Linked DNA regions of Alligator mississippiensis. The protein of the gene in region 1 purifies or fractionates together with the protein of each later gene. This does not show direct contact. Links are inferred from orthologs where the notes say so. Each region holds a gene or a part of one and is shown on either strand. Other genes may lie near its edges.

What was found.
Region 2: the proteins of SLC34A2 (region 1) and ENDOD1 purify together in Homo sapiens (co-immunoprecipitation; 3 studies listed by BioGRID and IntAct, counting the BioPlex papers as one, with this or other methods). This does not show direct contact. The link is inferred for Alligator mississippiensis from reciprocal best matches to the Homo sapiens genes SLC34A2 and ENDOD1.

What each region holds. Positions count from the first base shown.
Region 1 is NC_081825.1:39,606,273-39,618,201, reverse strand, and holds the start of SLC34A2 (sodium-dependent phosphate transport protein 2B), read right to left. Parts: upstream 6,225-11,929; 5' UTR 6,117-6,224; intron 1-6,116. UniProt on the Homo sapiens protein: Involved in actively transporting phosphate into cells via Na(+) cotransport.
Region 2 is NC_081824.1:447,174,726-447,186,892, forward strand, and holds the start of ENDOD1 (endonuclease domain-containing 1 protein), read right to left. Parts: upstream 6,352-12,167; 5' UTR 6,098-6,351; coding exon 5,804-6,097; intron 1-5,803. UniProt on the Homo sapiens protein: May act as a DNase and a RNase. Plays a role in the modulation of innate immune signaling through the cGAS-STING pathway by interacting with RNF26.

The DNA.
Region 1 (11,929 bases):
CATGCAGTTTAACTATTTTAAAGTGGCTCAACAGCACCTGCTTTTAAACAGCAGTTAACTTATTTCATGTAGTAGATAGGGTTTGTGTTACACAGCTCTGGCCAGATCCAGGATTCCCCAAAAGGGGGATGCAGGAGCAGCAACCTCCGCTGCAGGGGAAGCTGCATCCCTACCGCCGAGCCTCTTCTGCCTCCACCAATGAGGGCAGACTGCCCTCAAGAGCCTCCAGGGACTTTATGAAGTCCCTAAAGCAAGTGAAAACCCCTCCTCTCCTTCTCTTTCCCTCCCCACTTCCCCAGCTGCCGCTGTTGCTTTCCCCGCTGTTCCAAGGGCTGGGAGAGCAGCAGAGCAGCTCGTGCCCATCCCAGCTGGGCTGTACCAGGACAGGGCTCATCTGGGGATGGGGACAGTGCCAACAGCAGGTCAGAACAGTAGTCCTCCCCTCCCTGCCCCATCCCCTAGAAGCAGGCCTGGGAAAGGGGATCTCCCCACCCACCCACACTGCTGCTTTCCCCATTCCCAGCTGAACCCAGTCCACATGCAGCCTGGCTGGGGTGGACAGCAACAGCTCTGGTGCTTCCCCCACCCCTGGGACAGCAGGGAAAGCAACAACAGCAGGCGTGGGAGGGGGAATGATGAGGGAAGGGGAATTGTCACTTCCTTAAAGGGCTTAAAAAGTCTCTGGCAGCTCCCATGGTGTAGTCCAATGCAAAAGGGGTTTGCAGCTATGCCACTGCTTTGCCACACACAGTTATAGCGATATAAGGTGGTTGTAAGAAAACAATCATGCTGGAGTCTATTTAGCATAACATGCTTACATTTTTCTAGCAAAGTTTTTGTTTTGAAGAGGACCATCATCAAACAAGGATATTCCGGGAAGTTGTTTCCAAAAGCTTTGTCTACCTTGGAAAATATTTATTAACATATAACCTCACTACTACTACCACTTGAGCCATACCGGTGGTCACCCAATGAGAGCATAGGCAAGCCTAGGGAGGTGCCTAGGATTTTAAGTTACTTATTGTATTGCCCTGCTCTGGATAGGTAAATAACACAGGGCATGTCTACATGAGACGTTTACTGTGGAGTTGACTAATTAGCCCCACAGTAAAATGTCACTGTCTACACGTGCAGTACTGTTAGGATGGAGTAAACTAATTAACTCCACTATAGGATAGTACTGCCAGACACAAGTACTATCCTACAGTGGAGTTATTTACTCCACTGCAACACACATCTAGACACTGACAGGACTGGCTGGGGCATGATGGTACTTCAGTGCAGTGGCTTCCTGCCAGCCAGCCCCACACTGAAGCTTCCTTGTGCCCCAATCAGCCCCTCCGCAGCATGTTGAGCCAGGTCAAAGCAGCCCCAGCTAGCAGGCTATCCCCCAGGATCCTCTGCCATCCAGGGCTGCTCCAACCTGGCTTAACATGCTGCAGTCCCGGGTACACATGTAAATGCAGTGCCCAGGAGCAATAAACTCTGGTATGAACTACACCAGACTGTATTTGGCCACATTAATTGCATGTGTGGGTGTGCCTACAATGTTCAAATGTCAGGAGGACTTGCACTTCTGTCTACAGTAATACTCTGAGAATTGAAGTCACAGGAAAAGAGAAAATAGTGGTAACAACAATGGGAAAAATTCTGGTACAAAGGTCCTTTGCTCCCTTAGGCTGCATTTTCACTAGCCTTTCTCAGGAAATACCTTACATTTGTACTGTCGCTGTTGCAGGTCTACCCTAGGTAGCACTATTGGGAGTCCCAATTTAGATTAGTATAGGCATTTTTATCTATTGTACCTTACTGTGAACAAGTTTGTATGATAGGGGGATAAAAGCAGTAGTGACAGGTCTACCCTGCTGATTCTTCACAGGCCAGCACTGGTTGGCATCCACAGTAAATCAACAGTGGGAGAACTTGGGTAAAATGTTCACCACCAGCAGGATCCCTATGTCAGTTAAGATAAGGCCCCAATAAGCCAGTATGAAGATTGCTATTGTGCTATAAACAAGATTCAAGCATGAACAGCATCCACTGAAAGAAGAGTACTTAATCCCACACTTAATGGGCTAATATCTAGGTCCGATATTGGAACAGGGTTGCCCCTTAGGTGGCCCCCATTAGTCACCAATTATGCTCCTATTGTGTAGCCCATGGTTGAGGGAGAATGTCAGATAGCATGATCGCTCAAAGCCTATTGTAATAGTCAATAGTACAGTTTTGTGGCATTTTTATAAGAAAAATATTCCTCTTCCATACCTGTTGAGAGAATTCTGCTAGCAACAAGGAAGCTATTACACAACTATAATGTGCAGGATTTCATCAGTAGAGTGGATATGGCAACTTGGAAGGTGCATAGAGATGGATCTTTAAACAGCTAAGAATATCACTTGCTGGTTTCAACAGTGTTTTTTCCATTTGCTCAGAGCAACTCTCATGTTGTCATTCATGTCCAAACAACCTCAAGGCCCCGCCCATGTCAGAAGAACTCAGTCTTGTTAAACAAGTTGCCCTTGCACACATTCAGCATTAAAAGAGTTTTGAATGATATAAGTGCTTAGTAATAGTCGTCTTAAAATCAACTGCAACTATAAGCAAGCATCTGAAATTCAGGGTTGGGATGGGTTTAACACACCACTTAATACATTTACAGCTCTTTTCCTACATCCATATTCAAGATGGAATTCAAGGGCTTAACCTCCCCTATTACAGAAGCAGCCTGAAAACTGAACTGGTGTGATAAATACGGATTAGAAAATTCCATCTAATGAAAGCGTTTTTCCCCCTAAACTAAGTCTTCCGAACTGAAGCATTTGGATAGAAAATATTTTCATGAGATTTTTATTAACACTATGATGTCTAGACACCGACAGGTAGGTCATATGTTTTTATTACTATTATTATTTTAGAATATTCACTTATCTTGGCAATACAAAGTACCTTTGGAGGCAGGGCAGAGGTGCTATATAGATATATAAAATAAGATCAATACATATAAAAATAATCAATTTCAGTCCTGATCAAACTTTGTGTTGGCAAGTACAGCTTGAATACCATAGTCCCTACAACTAACTACTTTCAGCATCTGTGCTTCCCAGGAAAATATCACTCTGGCAGCCAAAGCAGATTGGCTAATGTTATCAAGGATCTTTGACAATGGAAACATGTGGATTTCTGGAAGCAACCCTGCAAGATGACAACTTAACCCTGTGAAGTGTGTGGGAAGAGTAACTTTTAGCCACAAGTCAGACTGATTATTAGAATTTTAACCCACAGCTTCTTGCTATTGTTATAGCATATATCTATCCCCAACATGTAACAGGTATTATCACAAAAGCGCTCCTTTCAAAGACAACTATTTTCCCCAAAGGAAAGCATTAATATTTGAGGAAAAATATTCATTAAAAAACCCTAAGCACTGAAAAGCAGCTGAAAAGCAGGATCATAACCATATACTCTACTCCCTTGCACCTGAGCATAAGAATAAGTAGCATTTTAGATCCTCTGTATGCTGATATACAAAGTGCAAGATAGTGGAGAATCAAGATCATAATCCTCAATAACAATTTACTTTAGAACACATAACTCATGATTGTCAATGCTACTTTAGGTGGCTGTCACCTCAGTGCTACATTGATGCAAGCTCTGAAATGGAAGCAACCCCCCACCCCCCACACACCTTTTCTCTTTTTTTAAGTGGTAGGTCAAAATATTCCATGCATTTTATATGAAATTAGCATTTCAAAGGTCTGAAAACTAATGCCCACACAAACTGTAATCCAGTCTGTCTCAATGAATGATGCAATAAATCCTCACATGCCATAGTGTGTGCTCCTTTGGTTGCAACTCTTGACCTTCTCCTTTATTATTATTTATTATTTGCTTCCAACAGTGCTCACTATTTTTGGGTGCCTTTAATTATAAAAGATGCGCAATCCCTACTCCAGCGCCCATAGAGACTTAAAGCAGTATTGGGACTATTACATTCCTGAGTGACTCATGAAATTACTACTTTTTTCTGTTTTACAGACCTAAACCTTCAATAATTCTCTATTTCACCTTAAAATAGTCACAAGTCACTTATTTTGCTGGACTTAACATAAGGGATATAAACTACCAACTGCACATGTGTACTCAGTATTGTTTTTATCTTTCCATCCATGACAGTTCAGTGAAAGGACAAGTTGTACTTGAAACAAGTAATGTGAAGCAATAGTATTAAGAAAATCAAAATTACATGGAAACTGCAAAGTAGAAGTGAGAAGAAATAGGATTTCTATGTGAACCATATACCAGTACTTCAAATACAACCATTAATAAACCCAGTGAATAGCTAGACTATCATGCATGTAAATTTTTTTCCAGACCCATCAAACAGTTTCCAAAGCAAGGTATCCATTTCAAGCAGGCTACTCTCTCGCTTCTTTTACTTTTCTAAAATGCAGTGCATTATTGCTATTATCCACGTTGTAGATGTTTATTTCAGAAAGTTTTGGGGTTTGGGGGGGGGGTTTGGTTGGGTTTTTTTGCAGCTCATCTGATATTCAGCTCTATTTGCATTCATACTATTTCAACAAGTATACTTTAGTGAATAGGTATGTCTCAGGCCTTCTCCACATACATATTGAAGATGCGTGCAATATGTGTAACTTCAAAACACATAACCAGAGATAAAATTCACATCTTATAGGTGACCAGGTTCTTAGTCAGCATAAACTAGAGTAGCACCACTGAAGTTAACTAACCAGTTTAGACAAGATGAGGACATGGATCCATAGCATTACCGCCCTATTGCCATAAATGTGAGAGAACAGGTAATAATTATAACAGATACAAGCAATGATTCAACTGTGCTAAGGGCAAGTTTCTTCTTTGCTTCAGCTATCATCACTCCAATAGGACTATTTGTATCATTCAAGTTACCAAGTTTAACCAGGATGTAATGTTTTTAATCAAACCTCTCTGTTGTGGAAGGGAAAGTGCAGGGGACAAATGCTAAATACAGTTGCTAATATATAAATATTTTATTTTATTGGAGTCCTTAGATCTCTGGTTGTCTCACAGAACTGAATCTAAACCATGAAAAAACAAAACCAAACCAAGAACAGCGTACACTAGTAAATAAATGAATGTCTAAGCCAGTGCAGAAATAAAGCAAATACTTCACAATATCCACTTGTTGCCAATATCTATCCATTCACAACCAGTACTCTAGCTAACAGAACCATATCAACCACGATTTCAGTGAATAATCTGGAATGTATCTGAAAGTAACAAGTGGTACAATTCTTTAGAATGGAACGGGAAAAAAGTTCTTCACCACAAGAAAACAATATAATTAAAATGGATACCTGCCCCCATACCTAGGCTGAGGGACTTGGTAAAGAATCTCAAGAAAAGAAACTGAACAGCATTGAAAAGTTTTATTGACTTAATAAAAGCCACTAATGAAAACTCCAATATCAGTCAAATTTCTGTCTTCTGTCACATTAATTCAGCCGATTCTATTAGACTAATGTATTCCTCTTTCCTCAGTGCATTAAACTGAATTAACATTAAAAATGTTTGGTTTTGGAATAGCCTGTTAGTGTAATAATGTTTTACATAGCCCTTTTGTACGATTTTATGTAGTAACATATGACTGCTGATGCTTCACTGATTGCAGCTTAGGCATTTTTCAGCATCCGATCCTACTGATTATTTCTGATTAAACTCTCTGTTTTCTAAAGAAAGTAAAACACTAAATACTTTTCCTGATACAGCAGGCAGTTATTGTACTTTTGATTCTTTACCACTGCTAACATACCTCTTAGCTCGACTTTCGAATTCTATGTGAAAAAGTCTGTCCTCCTTGTAGAAGATATTTACAGTGGCATGCATTTATAATCAATTTTAATTTTGGCGTTTTAAAAAAATTAAGGGAATACAACCAAAAAGATACCCTCCAAAATATTTAAAACTTTGACTATACTTTGAAGTACAATTCCAATTCCACTACTTTATCTCTCTGCTGCTATTTCATGTGACCTGCAAAACAGTCTGAAACTTAACATACAAATTACTTTAAAGTTTTTAAAAAAGGGAAGTTTGCCTGAGTTGCTTTTACTTACCACTTCTTTCTTCCCCAACAACAGTGAGAACAGATCAGCCAGGTATCCACTGAAACCTGCAATTTATAGAGAGAGAGAGGAAGGTGTTGAGCAAAGTCTGCTGTCACCAGCGCGCACACACATTCCTATCTTACACTCTAGAGGCACTGCCTACCTGCAGCTTAATGATCTCAATCAGCTCTTTTCAGCAGAAGTGGAGAGCAACCAACAGCAATAAAACCTCAAATTGTTTCACACTTATCATATTCTAGGAAATGTCCCATCATCAATAAGAGTTGCTAATATGTTCATCTGAGTAACGTGGAATTATTTGTTCCACTCTGACAAACTGCTGGCCACTTTGTCATTTAGTCGTCTTTCTAATAAATGTCTTCCAAAAACGTCTTCTTATACCAAAAATTGATCAATAGAGTTCTGACAGGGATATGGTGCTGTTATCTGTCCATTTGTCTATCCTACTGTCTATTTGTCTGCCTCAGAAGAAAAGTGACAGAGAATCAGATAAAAAAAATGGTCTAATTAGGAAACCTGTAAGAACCTCTTTCAGAACAAAGGATGAAGTTTTCATTCTTATCAGTGCCCAGTGTTTACAATTAAAAAGAAGCTACAGAGATCATTAGCATTTTGGCCATTGCTACTCTGGCTCTCAAATAAAAGAGATTTAAAGATATAAGAGTGCTCCTGGTAATTTTATCCTGAAGGCTAGCAAGTAGTACAACAGGTACGAATAAGCTCAGTATGATATTAAAGATTCATGACCTATACAAACAAATGACAAGTACGAAAGTGAGCCACTACCACTGCTGACTACTATACAGGGGTAGGTGCACAGGAAGTCTGGGGTACTGACCAAGCCACAAAGACTGCAGTGTTATTCTCTTTGAATTTTTGTTGTCCAGACCCATTTGCTCTCAGGTCCATCTGGAAAAAGACTCCATAGAGGCATCTTAACTAAAAGCTTCACCTTCTCTGTGCATTGTCATGTCTTCTCTCATGTTTTCCTGACTAAAATAAGGCTGTTGCTTTTTCATTCCTGCTAGCCCTGGCAGCACAGCAAAGATGCAAGCAGATCTTATTCTTTTTGTACCACATCAACAGAACCATTTACTAAGTTCTTATGTGCTAACCCTGGGGCAGCCTGGCCAGGGAGGCTCTGGGTTGACACCAGTAGCACTGAGTATTACTTGGGAGAATATGGCCTCAAAAAGGAGTTAATTTCTCATGGTGAAAATTTCTCAGAAACTTCTACTGCTAGAAATCATTCTGGGAGAGGGAGCAAGCCTGCAACCACCCTCTCTTCCCTTCTCTCCATGCCTTCCCCAGCTGGGGTGATCCCAGTCAAGGCATGGGGAGCCGGGGCTGCTCCAGTCTCCTCCTGGACTGGAGAGGCAAAGCCCTCCACCCATTCTGGGGTGTAGAAAAGGCGCTTCAGGGGCTGCTCCAGTCCCCTCCCAGAAGGGTCCAAGAAGGGAATGGAGCAGCAAGGCAAACCCTAGGACCCAATCTAAGGAGGGGGCAGAGGGGCAAGGATCAGCTGCTCCCCAACTCTTCCCAGTAACAGGAGCTGAGTGGGGGAGCAATGGGCAAACCTCTGACCTACTCTCCAGACTGGAGCCCCTGGCATGAGGAATTGGGGGGGGAGGGGGGGGGACTTTGCCCCACTGCTCTACTCCCCCCGGGATCAGGCCATTCTGGGCGGGAAGCATACCGGCTTTCATTTTTTCAGGAGAGTTTCTTCCTCAAAAATTTTCTCCCAGTGGGGGCATGTTTCCCTCAGGGAGAAACTGAATGAAAGTTTGTTCTCCCAGTAGAAAAATAATGCCTGCACATGGCTACAAGGGCATAACCAAAAGTCCAAAGGTTCTTACTAAGGAAGATGATAAACAAATTGAAAAAAAAAATCCTCAGCTTGGCTCTTGCTTCCCAGATGAAGAGGAACCTACTGAATTCACGGTGGAAGTGGGCCATGCAGCAACTCCTTTAATCTTGCAGGTTCCCCCGTACTCCCCCCTCCCCACATTGCTGATTGGCTGAGGGGCCACAGTGGCCCTGCTGCTTGTTGCTGACTGGCCGGGAGGCAAAAATGGCACCATATTTAATACTGCGGTTTTCTCCTCTCTGCTGATCAGGAGCAAGTGGTGGGGTCCCTCCACCCATCAGCAGGGCGGCACATGGGGGAACATGTAAGATTAAAGGATTGCTATGCAGCCCACTTCCACCATGAATTTGGTAGGTTCTTACAGATGAAACTTTCAGAGATGGCCTTTAACAAAAATCTTATTAAGATGAGAATATCAGAATTGGGAATAAATGAGAAAAATACATTGGAAATCCACCAGGACATTTTTACAGCGTCACTTGTCATGGTAGGAAAGCATTTTTATGATATAGAAAATGATATAGAAAAAAAGGCAACTCTTGTAATAGATGTCCTACAATGAAAATAAATGGGTTACATTTGGAAGTATATATGGCTTGCTGTTCTCTTGCTTGCTATTCACAAAACGCAGTTTGGGCATTGAGACAGTTGTTAGACATGTTTCAAACACACTGTCATCCTTCAAACAGGTATGTGAAGACTCCCTAAGTAGTTGATTTTTATTCAAGATGCTTTGTTCTGATTGCTATACACAGAACAGTGCTATAATAGGCCTAGTGGCCATACAGGAAGGGAACTCTATTGCATCAATATACTTTTCTAGGAAAAATACCTTTAGGAAGGGTTAGTTTGTCACTGGCAGAAAGGCAGTGGTTTCAGGAGGGCCACCTGCTATTCTAGGAAATGTATTATGAAACCTGTTTGAGGGCCCCTAAGTAATACCCAAAGACAGGAAGGGCTGCAACTCACATTTCCTCTCAGTAGCCAGGGATCAAGGTTGCTATTACTCATATGAGCAACCTCACACTATCTTCCAGCAGAAGAGAACAGGCTGGGAATTCTCCCCAAGGCAGCTATGCTACAGTCCAAGGTCCTAGCTATGATTGATAAGAAATAGGGATGGGTTATAAAGAACGGGAAGACACCTGGAAGGAGATGTTACTATTCTTAATTTTTTATCACCTGCTGCTCACTTTGAGGCAGACACCTTTGAGGAGCAAATGACCTAATATCAAAGGAGTAGGAAAAAAAAGTCCTTAGCTAGGGAATATTTAATAAACCAACCAAACTCCCTTTATAGGCATGGCTTCCTACAAGAGCCCTACTGAGACAGATACTATCTGAAATACCTTGGTACTGTATTTGGCAGGAAAATCAACCTCTATTATCTCACCTATTTCACAAAAATTCAATGCAGATATAAATTGAAAACTGTGATCTTTCAAAACACCATAACTGTTATATGTTACAGGAAGCTACTGCATATATAAGAAATTTGTCCAACATACAAACATAACACAACAAGCTCAATCTCTCCACCATGATGCCCCCAAACAGAACTGAAATGTAAATGTCTAACGCTGAGAGGGTCACAAATGCAAATCCATGGGGCATGTTCCAATGAATGCATACATGCAGGGGTGTGCCGCTGCTATTTGTCCCTGGGAACGTCCCTGTGTGTGCACTCCACCACATGGAAAATTGATCTAGGTGGGGTAGGGGAGGCTGGGGCCACCTGTGCTGGCTCCAGCAGCCTCACCTGAGGTCCTGGGGGCCTCTTGGAGCAGCAGCAGCAAGGGGCCAGTCACTCAGCACCTGGTCAGCAGCCAGAGTGTGACTGGTCAGTCAGGCTCTGTTTCTGGCAGTGTACGCTGCTGCTGCATTCACCGCGCTGCTTTTTTTAGCAGCAGGTTTCCTTTTTTACACCAGGATCTACCAGTGTCAAACAAAACTGCTGCACTGGAAATCAGTAGCACAGTGAACAGGTGCACATGTGCCATGTGCGGTCTCTGATGCCTCAAAAGGGGTTTGAGGCGCTGCAAATGCATGTGCACACTTCTTGGGACAAGCCCCATAAGTCTCCATGGAGCAATATTCATTTCTGAGTATAACTCATTAGGGAGAAAAACATATGTCATATTAAGTTAAAATTCAGTAAAACAACCCTAAAACTATCTCCTGCCATAACTATGAACCTAAATTACTCTTAACCCTAAGAAGTATTTAATGCATATCTTGTATGTACTAAAAATATAATTAAAAACACATGGCATTTACTTGTCAATCTTAATATATAAGGTCACAGTGGTAGTATCAAAAGACATGATCCTAACAGACATGGCATTCCTCATCAACATATTTAGCTCAAAAAAGAGAGAATAATCACCTCTCTTACAATATATCACTTAACTGTTAATGGCCTAATCAGAAAAAATACATTCACTATATGAAGGAAGGCAGAAAGTAGAACAGGTGGCACCTTACAGACTAACTCATTCAGAAAGTCATGAGCTTTCATTGGGTACAACCTACTTCATCTGATGCATTCAGGGACTCTGAAACCCACAATGTCCATTGAAACATATCCTGGCAAAATCTGGCTGCTGATCTGCGTTTGGAAATTGGATAAATATAGTTAAATTATTGTATCTTGATGTATTCTTTCAGGTATCTACAAACACACTAAAATGTTGGCTATAAGCATAGGCAGATCCAGCATTTTGTAAAGCGGGCAGGGGGTGGGGGGGAAGGAGCAGCAACTGGAACTGCAGGGGTAGCTGCACCACCTACTTTCAGACTATACCCCTTCCACTGGGGTGGGCAGACCACCATGGGAACAGCAGCCAGGGACATTTTGGCTGCCTGTACATGTGCTCGGTGGTGGGGGGGCATTTTAATTACAGTGGCTACCAGACAGCTGCTCTAATTAAACCAGCTCGTCGTCATGTGTATGAAGCCCCCCTGTGTTTAAAAATGGCCACAGGGGTGTTTTAACTAAAGCTGATTTGACAGAATTTAGTTAAAGCTCCCCTGTGGACATTTTGAAATGTGGTGGGGCTTAATACACATGAAGGTAAAGTGACACTGGAGCTTTCTAATTAGAATGTGAACAAGCACATCTATAGGCAGCTCTTAAGTTCCCAAATAAGGTAAGAATCCTGACTCCCTACCCTGCCTCTCCATGCTCAGTAGCACTTCCCTTCTCTCATTGTCCTTCTTTTCTTCCCTGCACTGCTACTGTCCCTGGCTGACTCAAAGGCAGGAGAAGCTCCACAGCTACTCCTGCCCCATCCCAGCTGGGCTGTGAAGGAAGCTCAGACAAGGACAGCAGCAGGGATGGTGGTGGCAGATGGGTTCCCCCTCTCTGAGCCTGCTCGCAGGTTGGTAAGGCACATGCAAGGGGATTGGGCATGTAGGAGGAATTTTCCCACTGCTGCTGTTGCCATGGTCCCTGACTCCCCATGCACCCTAGCTAGGGAGGAGCAGGAGCATCTCTGGAGTTTCCCTTACCCTCAGGTCAGCGGGGGACAGGGGCAGTAGTGGGCAGGTGAGAGAGGGAATAGATACAGAAGGGACGTGCCACTCAGCAGGGTGAAGGGGAAATTCTTACCTGCATTGGGGACTTAAACATCCCTGGCTGCTGCTCAGTGGCATGGTCTAAAAAGGGTGCAACTGCAACAACCACATCTCCTCTGGATCTACCCCAGGCTTTATATACAAGACTAGTCAATTGCCTGTCAGGAATGATGGGTGGGGAGGGCAGGTGGGGACGGAGCGCTACCACCATGGGCAACTGGTGCCACCTTAGTCAGTGGGGGCATGTGCCCCACCAGTGACCTGGGGGTTCCCCCATGGCCAATCTCGCTGACTGGGGGGAGTCCCTCCGCGGTCGATTGTGCCGAACGGGAAGCAGCCGTGGCACTACCAAAAGTGG
Region 2 (12,167 bases), on another chromosome or scaffold:
TGAAAGAGCTGGGACAGCTTGGGCTGTGCACAAAGTGAAGATCCTTGCCCCAAGGGTCCTTGTGGAGCTGTTTGGAGTTGGGGTTTAAAAGTTGCACTGTTAAAAGGGGTGATTTTGTATTTGGTTTCCATTATGGGTTACAGTTTACCATTCTGCTGCCTATGGGTGTAAATAAATCATACTTGTTTGAATCCTCCTGTTAAAGTGAGGTACTGTTGTGGAAACTAAGTCACCACTGCTACATACCTGCACCCCTTCCTGAGAGGGGTTACACTTGTTAACAGATAGCCACATATTTCTTCCTTGATTCTTGGCTAAATTCTTTAGCTCTTTGACTTCATGTGGCAGTAAGTGCCACAGTCTAACTGCAAGCTGGGTGCAAAAAGTATTTTCTTTTCTCAGTTTTGAATTTTCTACCTTTCACTCTGATAACATGCCCCAGCAGTCCTTAGCCTGCCTTCTCCACACCATTCATATTTTACATATTTTTATCACGTTCCCGCTTACTCAATGTCAGCAAGGTAAACAACACCTATCTCTTCCATCTCTCTTTATGTACATTTTCCATGCTGTCAATCATTTCTTTGCCATTTTCAAAGCCTCTGCTAATATTATAATACCCTTCTGGAGAGGGGTTGAACCCAGTACTGCACACATTGTTCCAGATGAAGCCATACCACATCATGACAGTTTAATATTTTCTGTATTTTTCTTCATCCCATTCTTTGTGCATCCTAACAACCTGCTTGCTTTGACTGTAGCTATGGTCTTGGACAGGCATCTTCACTGACTTGTGTACAGTGATATCTGCCTGGGTCGAATTTTATATATGCGTGAAAGATAAAGATACAACACTAAGTTCACCACGTTTGATAACCTAACAGTAACTGCATCTTATACAGAGCATGTGGCACGTGGATTTTAAGCAAGCAAAACCCCACAACAACATATCAAATAACTGGGCATCTATATTCCCATCTTCCCATAAGCTATCTATTGTGTAATTGCAACTTCAGGATTTTGCATGTGGAAACAGGGTAATTTTCAAACAATGCAGGCTCCAGGTAAGGAGGCCTTGTGAAAAGTTGTCCATATGTTCATCTAACAGAAGCAGGTAATGTGTGGAACAGGTGGCAACACCAAGGACTCTTTTCTCACCATCTCCCACCATTGTAAGTTTGGTATCCTACCTCTCTACTTTGCACTGCAACAAGTTCTTGTCATGTAAGTGCTCTTCATCTCCACCTTCCCAGCCTTCCTTAACAGAACCCCCATAGACTGATTCCAGTATCATTTCAAGCTTAGGTAGAAGCTATCTTTAACTCTACACTGCTGCAGAAACCTCTGCAGTCAATATAAAGCTGCACTTGTTGAGTGCTGACACCCATACTCAGAGCTGACCCCAGGGGCATGGGGGGCCCAGGGCATATCAGCCTGTGTGGGGCCTGTGCAGGGGGCGTGGCAAGTGACCAGAGTGCAAAGCCAGTGGCACGCAGTGGTTGTGCGGCATGGTGGCACCCTTGGCACGTGCCAATGGCTCTGTCTGTGGGGCCTGTACAGCACTGTCTGCGGGGCTCCCCAAAGTGCAGGGCCTAGGACTGTTGCCCTGATTCGCACCCCCCACAAGGGACAGCTCTGCCCATACCTATGTTATGTGCCTGGCCTCACATCCCATAGTGTCGGAGTGCTTCTCAGTCATTAGTCTTTATCTTTACAACAACCCTGTGGGTGTATTGTTACCCAGAGAGGCAAGCAAAAGAAGGCAGGGAACAGTGCATTGGCTTTAGGGCAGGCAATGCTACTCAGGAAAGGGCCAGAGTCCAGGGCAGCCTTCCACCAACCAGGGAAAAACCTATGCTGCTCTGCATGTGCACTGCACAGTTATGCAAGTGAGTTGGAGTCAAACTAGTTCTGGTTCTGCCTTCAAGGCTAGGGACAGACATTACACATAAATCGATTTAAGTGATCAGAAACTGGTTTAAACCTGTAACAGAACATAAGTTCAGTGCACATAAACCAGTTTCAAAATGGTTGAAACTGGTTTAAGATAAACCTGGTTGAATGTAGTATCAGACTTAACTGATTTGGGTCAAAATGGTTTATGCAATGTCTGTCCTGGACCCCTTCCTGGTTTAAGTTAAACTAGAGTCCCCCAGCATCCCAGCATGCTTTGCAGCCCTGGGCTGGGCTCTCTGCTCCAGAGAACAAGCATGCCCTGCCTCTCTCCTCCCAGGATGAGGCCCTGACAATTAGACCACCTTTCCTGTTAAACCTTGTTAAAAATGCTGCATAGTTACACCTCACCCAGCCAGCCAGTCATGGACAATGCTGGTATTCCTTTTATTTTGCATCCTGTTAGAACCTCTCTGCAGCTTTTGGCAAATATTTCTTATGTATACATTCCAGAAGAAGTAGACATTATATAAGACAAGTGCGCTTTCAAGTTACAGCATGCTCTATTATGAAATAACATTCGCTAGCCCTTAGTCACTCCACAGAGCATAATGAAGTTGTGCAATTTTTCACTATGCCAGTATGTTTGTGTGTGTGTCAACTCATGTGTACATGAGTATGCATGTCTGCACAAAGCACACCTGACAGCATGCATGTATGCCTAACTGTCATTCTCAGCGTATTTGACTTCGCAGTTCTCAGTCACAATGTTATTCAGAGGAAAACTGATGGCATTATTTTCTTGGATGTGCTGCATGGCAGTACACAGTGCAAAGATTCCCTTAAAGCAAATGATTTGACTTGACTTTGATATGAACAGCTTATAACAGATGCAATATCTCATCATTATTCATCTTGGCTTCCTCCCTTGCACACCTCATGCAGCTGATTGCTTTGCTCATGCTTGTTTATTGCTGGTAAGAGAGGTGGGATTGAGGAAAATGGAGTCTCCTGTATTGTGATTCTAATAACCAATTTCTCACAGGTTTATGCAATCAAATGTCACAGGCATTTTTCTCCACTCCCTGTTATATGATTTCTATACAGATATTAAACAGTTGTATCTTCCACCACAAAGCTGCTGTATCTCAGTGGTTGTTGAAGGGGATTCCTTTGGTATGGTAGTTGTAAAGTGGGAAACAGCCTGTGATCTTGTACTTAAAGCCCATACTGTAATGCACATGCATAAATGGGCATGGGATGAAACAAGGTTGAGCGGGTAACTTAAATTCTTGCATTTTCTCTCTGTTGTGCATTGGACTTTGCAACTTAACATTCTTGCAACTCTGTCCCTCTGTGGGTAAGTCAGCATATTTTGGTGGCCTCTTGTGTTAGGTATTGTACTTGTGGTAAATGGACATGACACATAGTAAATGACAGGGTCTATCCCAAAGATCCTGCAATCAGAAACACAAAATATATAGTGGTCATGAAACAGACAGGCAGAGCACAGGATCTCTAAAATATCCAGATGCTTTAGTATAGAGTAGCTGCAAGCACAATTCATCCCATGACTAACAAGTAAGTGCTTAAATAAAAAGTACCATGAGAATTGCTTCTGGCCTTTAGGGCACAGTATGGTGATCCCTACTCAGACACAGCTCTGACTAATGTCAATGATCAATGTGGTCTGCATTAAAAAAAATATTTTCTGTAGATAAGGCTTTTTTTGCCTGGAAATCCCTGCTGTTTTATTAGGCTGCATGCTGGTTGCAGGATGTTGGTGGCCTTTTCTATATCAAGGGCTAATATTTGTGTTTAAAGGGGACAGTCATTTCAATCAGGACATTAAATTCTTTTAAGGAATGTGTTGAGGCTGAAAACTCAGAACAAAGAAGCACAAGCAAGAAGAGTATCGTTTAAATGCAGGCAAAGCAATCTTGTTAGAGCAATTGCAAAGTGTTTTTTTATCTAGGACATTTCCCAGGAGATTGGCCCAGGGAAGGGGAATCCAAGGCTCTCAGTTCATCACTCACCAGTGTGAGCCAGGGCTCAGTGGGGCTGGATTCTGCTCTCCCAGACACTGATGTAAATCCTGAACAATTCCATGGCAGCTAATGACACAACACTGGCACAAAGTCACAGCAACTACGAGTGGAGTGCAGTGAATCAGTCTCAAACAGTTCAGTGCACAGTGCTGAGGGATGCAGTGGTTTCTTCACTGCAGCACTTTCTCAGAAATCTGCAGTCATGGCTGGTAAAATAAGAGGGGCCAAGGGAGAAGCACTAGAGAAAGTGACCTGATTTTTGAAGCAGGAAATCTAAAGACTGTGACAAGGAAATTTTAGCAGCTGAGAGGGGGAGAGAGCAGTGGGTGCTCAGGAAGCTAGGCCACTGGGGCTTCTTATAAGGAAGAGGTTGGGCAGTGAATAAACTGGATTGAGAGAGCCCTTGCTACTGGGTGGAGGTGTAAGAGGGCTTGGCAGTTGGGTGGAGTATCAGATAGGAAGGGCTTTTCAATGGGACATGTGGGCGGCTCTGGCACCTGAAAGATGGGCCTTTGGCTCTGATGGGAGCTGTAGGAGGGTTTGTCACAGGGAGAAGTGACAGTGGGAACACTAGGCATTGTGTGACAGAGGGGCTCAGCCACTGGCAAGGGCCTCCTCCCTTGGCATTGTGTAGAGCTACCTAGGTGATGCAAGTGGCAGATGTTCCTTTGCTGAAGTCCTTGATTAAAAAGGATCTATTAAAAATTCATAACGGTTCTTCAGCTGAGTAATTGTAAAGCCTTTAAAAAGCCCTCGCTCTGTTCTAAATAGCAAACAACCACCTTCAATAGGCATCTGTGTAAATTAAAGAAATGACAGATAAATGGGCTTCTGGTAGAGCCAGAAATTAAAACCCCAGCAGTGGCAGCAAGGAAGGATGGGTTCATGGCTAAGCCTGGGCTTCAAGATATCTGCAGTCACTTCCAGCTCTCCCTGTGTGACCTTGGCTCAGCCATGTCATTCCCTCCCTGTCTCAACACGCCACCCATACACTGAGAATAATAGCAAATGTCTTTGTCTCTTTAGAGTATAACTCTTTTCCTATATGCATGTACAGCACCTTGTACAATAGGGCGCTGGTCTCAGAAGCCTCTAGGTGTTACTGTCATACAAATAATATACATCATTATTGAGGGTAAACCATGCCAGTGTTGGCTACATACATGCGTCACCAAGTCTTCCCTATACTTACTCCTTACATAACCCTGACTACTGCAAATATTAAAGTGAAGGTCTTTAGCTCTCTGAGGCAATGAGGCAGTTAAGGATGACCCCTGTGCTATAACAACATCAGGAAATCAGCTTAACTTCAAGGCAAACATCAGGATAGACAAGAGCGACTGACAATTCAGGAACAGTTTTTTAGTCTAAATTCCTGACTTGCCTGAAAACCTTCATATTCCTGGATTGGATAAGCCACCCCTCTCTCCAGCCACACCGTATCTACAACAGACATACCCACAGCCTCAACTGGGTAAACCGCAGATGTCTGTTTTATTCCAGTGTAGTGGAGCTAAAGCCCTCTCTTATCAGCTGCAGAGTCACACTGGGGACAAAACAAACTTAAACCTGTAACTGAAATTTTAACCCTATTATCCCTTGTCATGGCTTGATTTCACAAATGACTCTGTGCAGAGTACTAGTTAGACAGAAGGACAGACAGGAAAGGGCAAGGAGTCATGTGTCTGTCCACCACCCAGCACATGAATAAGAACTATTTTTAATAAATGAATATCCAGAAGGATTTTTCAGCTTCGTTGCCCCCACAAAATCCCAACCGTCACAGCACAGAGTAACTTAACCCTTAACCCTCAGGCCCCCTGAGAATCTTTGCTTTGCCATCATTTGAAAAGCTGACTTACCTGTGGTTCCACCAACCAGCTCTCTTCTCTACTTTGGGCTGGTTTTGTGTATTTAAAAGCAGAATAGAGAGGGGTTTTGTCTTCCGTGCTGTAGAGCGTTGCAAAGCGAGGCTCTTTATTGTACCGCTGACAGATTTTCACATGGAAAGGCTCGGTAAATCCTTCTGGGGGGGTTTCTCTGTAAAAGAATCCATTGCATTCAGCAAAGCCAGGTTCATCCACTCTGACAACCCTGCCCTGGGAAAAGCCTGGGAAAGCCAAGAGGCAAAGCAAAAATAAAATTGATGTCTTCATGATCTCCTCCCTTGAATTGTCTCTCACTGCTAGATATGAGGAAGGACCTGTGCTCCGGGTACATCCAGCACTGAAGCCAGAAAGCGACTGGAATCCGGGTGTAGCATACAAGGGAGATGAAATATGAAACCCCAGCCGATCCCTTCAGGGAGTGAATGCGTTCTGCATGCAGCACACTGTGAAACGCGATGTGCGCAGCTCAGTACTGACACACACTGCAGATACAAACCAGCACTCCAATAGCTCAGGAATCATCAGGATCAGTGTGGAGGAGCAAGGGACACCGCAGCAGCTTTTAGGTTTCAGTTGCTGGCTATTGCCAAGTGAGCAGGCTGGATCCTTGCTCAGAACCACAGGGTGCACCGAGGGGACTGCATTGCAGCAGAGTCCTCAGGAGGAATTTCGGCTGACTCATCCAGAATTCTTACTGGGGCTCTGAATGGGTGTCTACTGATGTGCTAACCCTGGCACCCATGGGGGCTTGGGACATGCCCAATCCAGCCACAGGCCGGCCTGTGTGTCCAAAGGAAGGGTGCTGGCATTATGCTAGATCCTCTTTTCTTTGCCCCTTTTTGGGTGGCGCTGCTAGCCATGCAGGGTATGCAGCTCCCCAGCTGTGTTGGGGTTGACTCTAGTAGGGCAACACAAGAAAAGGGGACATGTAACCCACTCCCCTTAAGGACTTGCATCGCATGAACCATGCACACTGGCCTTACAGCTCCTGGCTCAGATTCCTTCCAAGCAGGCATGTAAGCTTATGAGAGCTACAGGCACTCAGTGCTCTCTGAGCATCCAGCCTCCTGCAAGGCATGCAGTTTGGATACACCAGAATGAAGCAGCTGTAATCAGTGACCACTTATGAACATTTGGGCCAAATCTATATAATGGACAAAAATGTAATTAATGGAAAAATGAATTGGAATGAAAGTCATTCCCTACATTTCATAGTCTACAGAGGTGTTACCTGTCCCATTGGGATCTTCATTTGGTTTTCTCCTTCTCCAGCTAAGAGAAATATTATTTCAGAGAAAGGGGAGTGAAAGTTTTCAGAACAATGGGGTAACTAGGAGGTTCCCAAACATGTATGTAGCTCTGTGCATGACTTCCTGCTGAAGATGACTGAGCCTGGTCAGATATATTGTCTCCAAACTTCTGGACATCAGAACCCATTTAAATAATGATATTTTACCCTGCCGTATTGATTGCCAGACAAGAATCCCCAGCACTAATTCCTTACAACTGTTCCAGGAAGCAGGCAAAGATTTGCCCATTTTACAGATGATGAAACTGAGACCAAGAGAGGTTGAAGTGACTTGCCCAAGATCGCAAAGGAAGTGTCTGGAAGAACTGAGAATAGCCCAGCCTTAACTACAGGACCATCCTTCCTGTAGTCAGGGACATGTAATCAAAAAGTACCAAAGCAAGGAAGTACATTGACAATTTTACTGTGATATTATCAGATGTGGGAGACAGCAGTGGGCTGGGAGGTCTAGAGAACAACAGGAAATGTAGTAAATGGGTTTGTTTTGTTTTCAGACATGTGACCGGTCATTGAGGCCTGACAGATAGTGTTAGTCACATTCAGGAAAGATTGTGGAAATGAAAATGTGGACACAGCTGACCTGAATCAAGCAAAGCAGAGAAACAAGCTCAAAATGTTCATCTTCCTGGATAGGAAATCTATGAAGAAGCTCCTGGGAAATGGAGAACAGGAACTACATTTGAGGCACTAGATCCTGAAGAAATTATAGGCTTGTAGTCATCCAAGTGAAATTTTCACAAGTGTCTCAGAGGTTTTGGAGCTGAAATCTCATTTTCCATGAGCTTCAAGTGCCTAAAATTTCCATGAGCTTCAAAACTATGGCTTATTCTCGCTTAACTGTTTTTGAATGTTAACCATAACCATGGATCAATTACATTGGTGGCGGTATGAATACAACTAGCAACACAACAGTTGGATGGGCAATGAGGAATATCCTCTAAAGAACACAAGGAACAAGTGATCAGAAAGGAGGAGAACCAGTAGTATAACTAAGGGAGAGTAGGAGAGGGGTGACCAGGGCAGCATCCCCAGGCACCCCCTTTCTGGGGGGAGGTGGAGCAAAACCAGCCATTGCCATAGCGGGAGCCGGCACTGCCCCAGGCACCACACAGCTGTCTCAGTCACAGAGCTGTATGGCTATGCCTCTGCCCAAAAGCCAAGAGAGAACCACATTTCAAGAAGAGCCTGATCAACTATATCAAGAGTCAGGAAGAAGAGGTCACTAGAGACTCTGGTGAGAGCAGTTTCAGTTAGTGTCTAGTGGGTTTTTTCAAGATAGGAGAGATAGGAAGCATGTTTGTTGAGAGGAAAAGCCTGGGAAGAGTGAGATTGTGAAGCGCAAAGGTGGGGATGAGAGTCCACATGAGCGAAACTGGAAGTGGAATAGGAAGAGATCAATAGGGCACAGTTTAGAGAAGAACTAATGAGAAACACCTCTGCTCGTGAGAAGGGAGGAGGAGAGGCTTGTAAAGGGGAAAGACTGTGCGACACAAACACATTCATTAGTATGACCCACTGCCAGGGAGAACTTCCTCTTCATGGAGGGTCTTTTTGGCTCTTGAAGAATCTATTCCTGCTTTCTCAGGCCCTGCAGGAATGTCTTGAAGAAAAAAAACAGCTCTGAAAGTTCATGGAAAATGAAAGTCTTAACAAAACAACAGGCCAGACACCCAAGTCCTTTACCAACTGAAAAGCTTTCAGGCTTGCTTTCCTTCTTTCCCACAGCAAGCCCCAGCTCCCTACCACTCTCTATTGGGTGTCCATGTTTTGTTTTGTTTTGTTTTGTTTTGTTTTGTTTTGTTTTGGGGTTTTTTTAGAGACTCTGTTTTTCATGATGTGATTGCAAACCACTCAAGCCCAGCAGCAGAGGGGACCTCACTTGACTTGGCATACTTTCTCCTCTCCCACAGGGTCCTGGCATGGTATATTTTTGTTCCCATTTGTCAAAGAATGAGAGGGGAAAAAAATAGACCAAGGGCCAACATCTCAGCTGTTGCAATTCCACTTGCTTCAGCGTAGAAACAGCAGCAGAGAATTTGGCCCCAGCTGTGTGGAGCTCCCAGTGCACAGGCCTGTGTGTCAGAGGACACATCTGCCTGTGTGGTCACTGCCATGCATGTCTTAGACTTCGCCTTGCAGCTTTGACTGGGAAAAGACAACCTGGGGCACAAAGCTCAGCCAATGAGCACAGCAGGAGTAAAAGGATTTTACCTATTGGAGCTAAAGGGGCTGGGAGCAAAAGGGACAGCAGACTGCAAGCTCTTTGGGGCAAGGACTGTCATGTACTGTATGAACATACAGAACCTATTACAGTAGGGCCCTGACCTGGATGACCTGCTACCACAATATTAATAAAATAAAATGAAATTAAAATGTTAAGGGTCAAAATGAAGTAAGTATTCCTATGGGATGGAAAGGATGGAAGGTGAACGTAGTGGCTTAGCAATGTCCAGGGAGAGGAAGGAGGCTGCAGTGCATAGTGGCTTGGAGAAATAAAATCTTTACCTACATTAATGTTTTGTTCGTGTTTTTTGCTCATATGTTTTCCTTGTCTGCTTCGATTGCAAGGGCAGGTTCCATGTTTTCTGCTGGCTTTGTACAGCAGCTTGAACAGTGGGACTGTCACCCTGAGCAGGGCCATTTAACACAACACAAATAGAAACACACAACATAAATATTGAATAATAATAACTGAAACACAAAGGCTCACATTACTCATGATTTGATTACAGCTTTACATAGGTAATGAGTTGATTTCTCACAGTAGATGGCTCTTTGAACTAGCAGGCAAAGGCAAAGAGGAGTTCAGACTAGCAATAAGGTGCCATTTTTAACAGTAATAAATCACTAGGATAGCTTATCTGGGAACAGAGTGGATTCTCCAGGATTTTGGCATCTTTAAAGTAAGGCCGACTGATTTCTCTAAGGCTATGCCATAGCTGAGCCAGACACAATGGGCTTGCTGCAGGAACTCCTTGGTGATTAGACAATCAGCCTCCATGACCACAATAGTTCTTCAGGCCCTAAGTTTATTCTGTTCTGTACTTTATACTTTATTTCCAGCACTGTTTTCCATGTATTGATGTTTATTGCTCTTTGTTGTTTACTATGACTTTGTTCTGATATTACAACAGTTTGAAGAGCCCAGGTATCTGGCAAGTTCAAGGATCATAGTCACTGGTTCAGGGTGTCAAGGCCAAATATGAGGCAAGGAGAAAGTTCAGGAGTTACAGGAATAAGCAACACTGAGCAGACTCCTTGCAAGGAGCTTAGATATCTGAGCAGCTTTCTACTTTCTGGATTGTGTGAATGAGGATGAACCTTTTTACTGTAGGTAGGAAGTAAATCCTCCCAGGTAGTGAGCTCGCACTTTGCATGTGAGGGTGAATCATCATCACCAAAGTTGCCAAAAGGTCTAATCAAGATTGAGGTCATACTCTGCTGGTTGCTGCATAAGCACTTTGTGAGAGAGAGTCCCTTGCAATCTACATAGACAAGAGACAAATGAAGGGAGGGGAAATAGAGGCACAGAGATACCCTGACTAAGGCATCTCAGAAGGGTGTGGGAGACAACAAAACCCATTGGCAATATCCAAAAGTTTAAATCAACAGGCAATTAGTACCACACCTTGGGACTTCCTGATGTTTGTTTAGGTAGCCATACTTCTGGGAAGAGGGGTGAAGAGGGTTGTATCAGAAGGTACATTGAGGGGCACTGTTTGATGGACGTGATGAGTTTCAGGCGATTATATCAGTCCTTCTCTAGCTCTTTCAGTACATGGGGCAATTTGTAAAGGACAATATTCTCAGTATGGACCCCTTTGTCTTCTAAAGTCCTGTTACAAGGTTCTCGCAATGTTTTATGCCATGGGCCTGCCAAGAATGTCTTCAGGCCACTTGAGTAGTCATAGTACACAGAGTGAGAACTACTGGATTGCAGGTTTCCTGTAAACACATGAATCTTGTCCGTCTGCCAAGTACAGCTGACTGACTAATTCAAGCTCTGTGGTCCACCCAGTGCTTGGCCTTGCTATTGAGACAGCTAATAAGGAGCTGGTAGGCTTGTGTCTTTATAGTGTTTTTCGCATAGACTGCCCATCTGCCACTGAACTGTAATAGCTTTGGGCTTTGTTGACCTGGGCTACATATGGATGTATAATTCTCTGTTACCATCACTTGTTAAGGTACCTTTATATTATGAAAATTATTCCTTCTTAAAAGCACATAGGAGAGACAATGACTTTATCCAAAGGAACTGAGAGGAAGATGGGAAATAATTCTGACTAAAAATATGATTTTTCAAAATATGATTGACAGGTTAATTCACACGCACAAGAACTTGAGGTCTGGCATGTGGCTTTGGAGGAGGAACCTCTGATTAGATAGCAGTGCAGTGTAAAAGATCTGAAGGAGGAATCGGTCCGATGTTGACGCCTGTATCCTGAAGTGAGGGGTTGGACTTAGTGACCCTGGAGGTCCCTTCCCACTTTGTGATTCTGTGATTCTCGGTGTTCATATTACTGCCACATGCCACTTTAACCATTTGATTCTATCGCCTTGTGAAACAACAGCTTTTGTTTGACTGTGCAGCTAGTGTGGGAAGCTGGATCTAGTACAGGCTCCTAAAGAATATCAGGCTAGACTCACACAGGCCCTTAGGAGCACTGTTGGATCCTTGGGTGCCAGGGAAGACTTGTAGTCTTGCACCTAGGCTCCCTATACAATTCAAGCAGAACTTTAATAGACACTGGTTCAGAGTGTCAAGAATAGTATTAAGAATGCTATTAAGAACAGTATTTAAAAAAATCAGCACACTTGAGTGGAGCACCCATTAAGCTAGCTAGTGAGAAAGGACAAGAGGTTTGTTTTAATCCCCATCTCTCCAAGAGCTAGAAAACTGACTTTTCTCAGAATTCATAGGCATGAACCTCCCTCTTGGAATAAGGTATCAAAACCAGGCCAGCCTGTTGCGGGGGAAAGGAGGCATCCCTTATCTCTCTTTAGCATCAGTAGTTGGAGCACTCGCCT